Linked DNA regions of Danio rerio. Each later gene encodes a partner of the first gene's protein in a complex. Links are inferred from orthologs where the notes say so. Each region holds a gene or a part of one and is shown on either strand. Other genes may lie near its edges.

Evidence for each region.
Region 2: cnot10 (region 1) and cnot7 share a complex: the UniProt entries of both Homo sapiens proteins name them as parts of the CCR4-NOT complex. The link is inferred for Danio rerio from reciprocal best matches to the Homo sapiens genes CNOT10 and CNOT7.

What each region holds. Positions count from the first base shown.
Region 1 is NC_133191.1:8,036,210-8,040,732, forward strand, and holds the start of cnot10 (CCR4-NOT transcription complex subunit 10), read left to right. Parts: upstream 1-1,472; 5' UTR 1,473-1,622; coding exon 1,623-1,641; intron 1,642-2,020; exon of another isoform or gene 2,021-2,083; intron 2,084-3,176; coding exon 3,177-3,271; intron 3,272-3,365; coding exon 3,366-3,527; intron 3,528-4,445; coding exon 4,446-4,523. UniProt on the Homo sapiens protein: Component of the CCR4-NOT complex which is one of the major cellular mRNA deadenylases and is linked to various cellular processes including bulk mRNA degradation, miRNA-mediated repression, translational repression during translational initiation and general transcription regulation.
Region 2 is NC_133189.1:34,926,098-34,929,923, forward strand, and holds part of cnot7 (CCR4-NOT transcription complex subunit 7), read left to right. Parts: intron 1-1,497; coding exon of another isoform or gene 1,498-1,524; coding exon 1,525-1,669; intron 1,670-2,894; coding exon 2,895-3,005; intron 3,006-3,102; coding exon 3,103-3,234; 3' UTR 3,235-3,826. UniProt on the Homo sapiens protein: Has 3'-5' poly(A) exoribonuclease activity for synthetic poly(A) RNA substrate. Its function seems to be partially redundant with that of CNOT8.

The DNA.
Region 1 (4,523 bases):
ATATATATATATATATATATATATATATATATATATATATATATATGTGTGTGTGTGTGTGTGTGTGTGTGTGTATATATGTATGTACTGTATGTATAAATAAATTTGGAGAAAGAAGCTTTTTAAAAAGAAGGAAAGTCTTTTTTAATAGACAACACTGAAGAAAATACCATGTACTATTATAATATAATGCTCCAACAAAAAGTACTGCTAATCTGTTATCAACATCCCATATTGAAAGTCATGTTAATTTATTTTAACATGTCAGTAGGTAATATGCCAGTCCGAAAACTATTAAAGTAACTTAAAGTAATTTCACCTAAAAGGGACAGTTTCAAGAAAACAAATATGGTTAATTTATTAAACATTCTGTAAAGTAAACTATTAAAAGTGCTGATAATCACCAGTCTATGATTGTAAGTGTTGTATTGTCGTCTTTCAGGTTGTATTTCAGCTTTGTCGGCTTTTTAAATGAATAAATAAAAAACAAAACAGCTGCTTTTCATGAGGCAGCGGCGCAGTAGGTAGTGCTGTCACCTCACAGCAGGAAGGTCGTTGGGTCGCTGGTTCAAGCCTCGAATCAGTTGGCGTTTCTATGTGGAGTTTGCATGTTCTCCCTGCGTTTCCTCCGGGTGCTCCTGTTTCCCCCACAGTCCAAAGACATGCGGTACAGGTGAATTGGGAAAGCTAAATTTTCTGTAGTGAGTGTGTGTGTGAATGTGTGTGTGGATGTTTCCCAGAGATGGGTTGCAGCTGGAAGGGCATCCGCTGCATAAAAACTTGCTGGATAAGCTGGATGGTGAAATGGGCGCTGCTGTTGCATTGGAATGTTCTATTGAGTGTCGCTGCTTGGTCATTCTAAGCTCCTTGAAGATACACATCAAGCTGCAGACCAGAAGTTCAAAGCATCCTTCTTATGGGATATATGGTAGCTGGATATATGGTAGCTGTTTTAGGATATATGGTAGCTGTTCTTAGGATACATGGTAGCTGTTCACAGTTTATTAGTGTCTATTATTTAATTTATCTTGTACTATATTAGTTAAATGTTTAGTTTATGTCTAGTGTGTGTCATATTTTTGTTTTTAAATTGCACATTGGAGTGTGGGAGAAACGCAGTTTCAGTCTGCTGTGTAATGTACTGTTGCATGGTTTGATTGACATTAAAGTTGACTTGACTTGACTCATGCTTACACGCAAAGCATAATGTGCAATTGTGCATTTTATAAAAAAGGTCTAGCACACCTACTTTTCTAACGTACTAGTTTGTAGTAAAGGGGCGAGGCGAATCTGTCATGGTTACAGGTGTTCAACTGTAGAAAGTAAGTCAAACAGGTTGTTAACGATTGTTAAACGATGACAGAATGTTATCGTATTTTGAGTGAACTATAAAAAAAAATAGTTGTAGTTTTTCCTCCAACCCGATAGATGTCAATCGCGAACATAAATTCCGGTTTGAAAAAAACACTCGCGCGGCGGTTGTGGGTAATATTCATGGCGGAATTCTGAAGCTGCTAAGAAGAGACACACCTTCTCCGTTTTCTCTCCGTCGGTTCAAATTGTGGAATTAATTACACCTTTATCTGTTGAAAAAGTGAATTATCGTCCATATAACTGAAGGAATGGCTGAAACAGGCTCAGGTAGGCGGCGTGTTTGACATACAGCGGGTCTTGCAAAACACTGCAGCTGTTCTCCAGCGCAGCCGGGCATGTAAACAGAGGATTTTACCGCAAACAGATTCTTGTTTTGTTTATAAGTTTTACATTTGTAGCTTTATAAAAGTTTGTAGTTTGGTTTACAGTGCATAGTTTGAATAACAACGTCTAAATAGATAGCTAACTGTTAATGAACTTGCCCAGTAATGCTTGTACGTTAAATGAGTTATGTTGTTTATAGTTAGTTTAGAATATAAATAATGCTTTAATGCATATTATTGTGTAACATTTAGGATTTTGAGTTAGCATTTTATTTAAATAGCTGTTTAAATATATGACAAATGCTTTTGTTTTTATTGTTTAGTGCAGTTTGCAGTCATATAATGGCTGTCAGTGCTGTCCGTGGATATTCATTGAGGTAATAGAGGTAAAGTTGGTTTTATATTTGCACATTCAGACTTTTCCTTAATAATATAATTTCATAAAATTATTATTTGCAAACTCTAAATGGCGAAATCATACTAGCAGCCAGTGACTATCAAAGTCAATTAAACAGTGTTGATGTTGTTTTTAAGTCACACTTGCATGCTAATTCCGATCGAATATTCAAAGTACCATGGTAAACAATATAGAGACTTCCAAATAAACAAATGTGCAAATATAAAACCAACTTTGCCTCTAATAGGGAGTGTGTCACAAGTTGACACCGAATTAATGTGTAAATATAAAACCAACTTTACCTCAGTATTGAGGTAAAGTTAGTTTTATATTCATTCACACATTCTGACTTTTTCCTTAACATAATTAAAAAAAAAATATTCTTTGCAAATTCTAAATATTGAAATCATATTAGACTTTTAAAGTACAACATTGTTCACAGTCAAATAAATAGTGCTGATGTTGTTTTCAAGTTATAATTCGGTGTGATTTCAGACTGAATATATTTTAATTACCATGCTAAACTATGTAGTGAGCATGTCACAAGTAGGCTAAAGAATTCTCACAGGATGATAACCTTGGATAAAAATCTCATGGTTTCACATTATTTTGATAATTGCTCTATTATTATTAAAAAAAAACTATTCCCCATTGAACTCAATATATTTTATTTTGAGAAACATTTATAATATTTTGGAGCTCTAAACATGTCAAACTACATAATTTAAATGAGTCATTGACCTCTGCTGTCTTCATTATTTTCAAAAACACTGATTTCATTACAATTTAAAATGGCATCTTTAAATATATTTTCTGTTGGAGATACTGTTATCCTAAAAAACGTAAAAAAAAAAAAAAACATTCTTACACTTATCTTAGGAATGGTACAGTAGAGCATTTTTGCGGGTTTAAAACCTTGACTTTTTCAAACCTGGTATACCTTGTAAACGGTTATTGCCCAATGCCTAGTCACAAGTTGTTTTCACTGAACGAATGTGCGAAAATAAAACAATCTTTACCTCAATTGAATACTGCATGAGTTGAATATGTCCTGTCATTAACTGCATCTGTTTTCTTTTAAGATCAATCTGGTGACATGAAGCATGACATCGCTTCATCCCCTGGGATGTCGGATTTAGAGAAAGAGGTTGCAACCAATGCTTTCGAGGCGTTTAAGGTAAATAGTTATTATATAGATGTCTGTGAAAGACATATTTTTTGTGATTATTTTTTCCAGATCTCTGTGACATTATATTGCGTTTTTCTTCCAGACTGGAAGCTATGACGAGTCTCTGAAATATCTTGACAACCTTCAGGAGCTGAACAAAGAGGACTACAAGATTACAATGAACAAAGCGGTCACTGAGTTTTATAAAAGTGGGCAGACAACAAGCAGCACCTTGAAGCAGACGCTGATGACCTTGAAGAATCAGGTATGGTATCACTGATGTCTCTATTAAGGGATGCTAAAAGTGAAGGCTTTGAGTTGGAGAGGAAAATTAAGGATGCACCAAAATGATATTTATTTTTTAATCATAGGGTTTAATCTTTTTTTAATAAATTATTCAATATTAACATATATAATATATTTTTTGAGATAAATGGCACATTATGGACACTGTTTTATTCATCTCTTTCTATATATTAAACATTGATTTAGCTTTGACATATGACATCAGTATGATTCAAATATTTTAGAAAAAAGTAATTTTTGATCAATTTATTACATTCTTGTAAATAATAGTCATTTTTATTTACCAACATCTTGTGGAATGATTTATACCATGATGCAAGAAATCTAGTCGAGTCCCGCAGCTCCCATTGTACAGCCGCAGGACTCGACTAGATTTCTTGTATCATGGTATAAATTTCTAAATTAAGTGTGGGAGCGGTCGGTAACTGTTGTTATTTGAATTGGAGGGGGCGGTCTAACAATATCGCTCTCGACTCCCGAGCGAGCACGTGTATGTATGTGTGTGAATGTGAGAGTGTGATGCTGTGTGTCGCTTGCTTGGGGCTGTGCATCTATGTGTGTGTGTGCTTATACAGACAGCTTGTTATAGGCTGTCTGGACCCTGTATCATGTAGCTGGGTGGTTTTTGCCTTTGCTCCTCCGTTCGCGAACACATCAACCCCCGGGAGCGGGATTACAAATTTTAGATCTCTACTGCAGCCCACACATCGAAACACTTTTGGGCCCAAACTGATGTTTCAGAAAAAAAAAATAATAATAAATTAACTGAAGTGTTGGTGCATCAATTTGATTTACCAATTTTGTCTAACAAATGACAATAAAATGACTTTAGACTCTTACTTCTACTACTAATAATAGTTGTTGTTGTTGTTTGCAGATGCATACAGCTGTGGAAGATATTGATGGTTTGGATGATGTCGAGAACAGCATCCTGTACTACAATCAAGCAGTGATC
Region 2 (3,826 bases), on another chromosome or scaffold:
AATTTCTGGAATTAAACATTTGTCCCGATGTTCTAAGTAAATTGAGAAATATGATCACACATGAATGAGTACTTTTCTGATTATGTACTTTAAATTTTAAAAAAGTATTAGTCCTTTAAATGTGGTCAATATACACTCACCGGCCACTTTATTAGGTACACCTTACTAGTACCGAGTTAAACCCACTTTTGCCTTCAGAAGTGCCAAAATCCTTCATGATATAGATTCAACAAGGTACTGGAAATATTCTTCAGAGATTTTGCTCCATATTGACATGATAGCATCACCCAATTGCTGCAGATTGGTCGGCTGCACATCTGTGATGCCAATCTCCCACTCCCAAAGATGCTCTATTAGATTGAAGTCCGGTGACTGTGGAGGCCATTTGAGAACTCATTGTCATGTTCAAGAAACCAGTACGAGATGATTCACACTTTATGACATGGCACATTATCCTGCTGGAAGTAGCCATCAGAAGATGGGTACACTGTGGTCATAAAGGGATGGATGTGGTCAGCAACAATATCAGGTAGGCTGTGGTGTTGACACAATGCCCAATTGGTATTAACGGGAGCAAGATGTGTCAAGAAAATATCCTCCTCACCGTTACACCACCACCAGCATCCTGAACCGTTGAAACAAGGCAGGATGGATCCATGCTTTCAGGTTGTGGACGCCAAATTCTGACCCTATCATCCAAATATTGCAGCAGATGCACTGATGCTGATGCACTCATTAGAAAAGGCAACATTTTTTTCAATCTTCGATTTTGGTGAGCCTGTGCAAATTGTTGCCTCAGTTTCCTTTTTCTTAGCAGACAGGAGTGGCACTCGGTGTGGTCTTCTGCTGCTGTTGATCATTTGCTTCAAGGGTTTGACATGTTGTGCGTTTACAGATGTTCTTCTGCATATCTCAGTTGTAACAGTGGTTATTCGCCTCGGACCTCTGGTGTCCACATAACTACCGCTCACTGGATATTTTCTCTTTTTCTGACTATTTTCTGTAAACCCTAGAGATGGTTGTGCATGGAAATCCCAGTAGATCAGCAGATTCTGAAATACTCAGAGCAGCCCACCTGGCACAACCATGCCGTGTTCAAAGTTACATAAATCACCTTTCTTCCCCATTCTGATACTCGATTTGAACAGCAGCAGATCATCTTGATCATGTCTACATGCCTAAATGCATTGAGTTGCTGCCATGTGATTGGCTGCATAGAAATTTTGCATTAATGAGCAGTTGGACAGGTGTACTTAATAAAGTGGCCGATAAGTTTATATATACACCATTAATTGATTGAATTTACAGAAATGGTACCATATCGTGATATATATCGTATCGGGATATGAAATTACTTAAATCGTGACATGCTTTTTGTCATATGGACCAGACATACTGAAACGAATGCAGTGTTTCAGTGGAGATTCAAGCTGTGGCTCCATTTAAAGTGTAAAATCTAAAGCTGTGACATCTTCAATTATTCTTCTTTATTTTCAGGCATATTCTTGTGTTTCTTTTAAACAGCGGCTATGACTTTGGGTACCTGATTAAAATTTTGTCCAACTCGAAGTTGCCAGATGAAGAGGTCGACTTCTTTGAGATTCTTCGTTTATTTTTCCCCATCATTTATGATGTGAAATACCTCATGAAGAGCTGTAAGAACTTGAAGGTATTTTATTATTACTGTTAAGAAATTAGCAGCATGTGTGAAATGTGCTGTAAAAACATGTTTCTCATTTGAAACTAATATGTATATATGTCTACAATTATTTCTGCTTGCTTGTAAGTCACTTAAAAGAAAATGCATTTATTTTTATTAAGTTGTTTTCTATTTAGATATTTTGAAAGTCACTTAAAGACATCTGTAATTTTTCTAACTATATTTCTATTTACCAATTTTTATCTGAACAACATTTCTGAATTTTTTTAATATATTTCTAAAGTGCTGTTTAACATTTTTTCAAAACATTTAAACATAATAGATTTAATAACGAATGATATTTCTGTTGTCTTTGCCATTATGAATAGATAATATTTACTAATGTTCCCATAGTTTTTGTAAATACATTTCTATTTACCACTAAATGATTTTATTTATTAAAAACATTTTTTTGTGATTTTAAGTAATCCTAAAGTGGTTTAAGGTAGTTACTAAGGTTAACTGGGCAAATAGGATACTACTGGTACTAGGATAAATTGGACAGCAGTGGTTTGTTACATTTTTGCCAAACTAAAACATAAAATAAAAAATTGTTAAATAAATAAAATACCTAAATTATTAAAAGTTTTTAAATAAAATACTTTCTGCAGAAAAAAATATATAATTGAAAATACTGAAATTTTTCTGGCTCTGTTAAACATCACTTGGAAAAATAAATAAATAATAAATATTTATTTATAAATAATAATAATACACAGGCGACATGAGATGATAATTGTTTTCAAGGTTTAAAAACCGCCACGATTTTCTGCTATGCCACTCCTGTGGTAAGATTTTTATTTATTTTCTTTTTTGTTTTTTTAGGACAACAGAAAGAAAAGAAATCTCCAGCAGAAAAGATATCCAATGATGTGGTTTTAAATAGTAAAGAAGTCTGTGTTTCCAAATTATATACATATGACCATGAAACCGTGATATTTTTATCTGTCACACGTCAGAATCTTATACCAGCCCATGCCTAACATTGATATGTTTTTGTTAACCAGTAAAAAAAAAAAAGGCATAATGCGTTTTGTGTGTGTGTGTGCGTGCGTGTGCGTGCTTTGCAAAATAAACCTGAGTGTGAATGCTTTTTAAAGGCATCACAGTTTTTGGATGGCAGCACTGTCGTCAGTGCAGCACTGAAGTATGAAGTGTGTGTATGTGTAAGTGTGATTTGTGCTGTGCTGCGCAGGGTGGCCTGCAGGAGGTGGCAGAGCAGCTGGAGCTGGAGAGAATCGGACCTCAGCATCAAGCAGGCTCTGATTCGCTCCTCACAGGAATGGCTTTCTTCAAGATGAGAGAGGTGTGCCTTCAGCTAAACAATAGCCAAAAAAATGCTAATCTTATTTGATATGTTAAAGTGGCACTGCATACTGACTTTAAGAACATTGTCATTGCAGATGTTTTTTGAAGATCACATTGATGATGCAAAGTATTGTGGTCACTTATACGGACTGGGTTCAGGCTCATCCTATGTCCAGAACGGTACCGGAAATGCCTACGAGGAGGAGGCCAACAAGCAGCAGTCATGACACAACAACAATCCCTCACCATAAACAACCTCATATACAGGGCTTAAAACTTGGCTTTTTAGTTGTCCTTGTTTTGTTTTCCATGAGAGATTTGATAGGAATTTGCACTTTAAAGCTCCAATCCAACAGATCGGAGAAAAACTTCTTCCCTTTGTTGCCTTCTCTGGGTTAAATCTTTTCACACAAAGTTCATCTTTTATAGTTAAAGAAGACGAACCATTTGGTGTTTTAGGTTTTTTTTCCCTCCCACAGCTCAGCCTTAATATTAAGCTACTTTTTACGTTCTTCTTTTTTTATCGTTAATTTATTGCATTCGTTTCTTCTTGTGTATTGTTGCGTGGTTCATCGACTGATTGCACCGGTCACCTACATGAACTGTCATTCCCTGATCACTGACTCCTCACACTTGACAATAGCTTTAGACAGACGGAGGATCTCACGGACGCACAGGTAAATGCTGGCACTTAAATGTCAAGCGAAGCTTCGCACCGATTTTACCCTTTACGTTGGGTTAGCACAGATTTTACCACACAAGTAAATTAAGAGTGATGTACTGTAGTAACTGCCACTATTTAAGTGAACTGAGGTCACC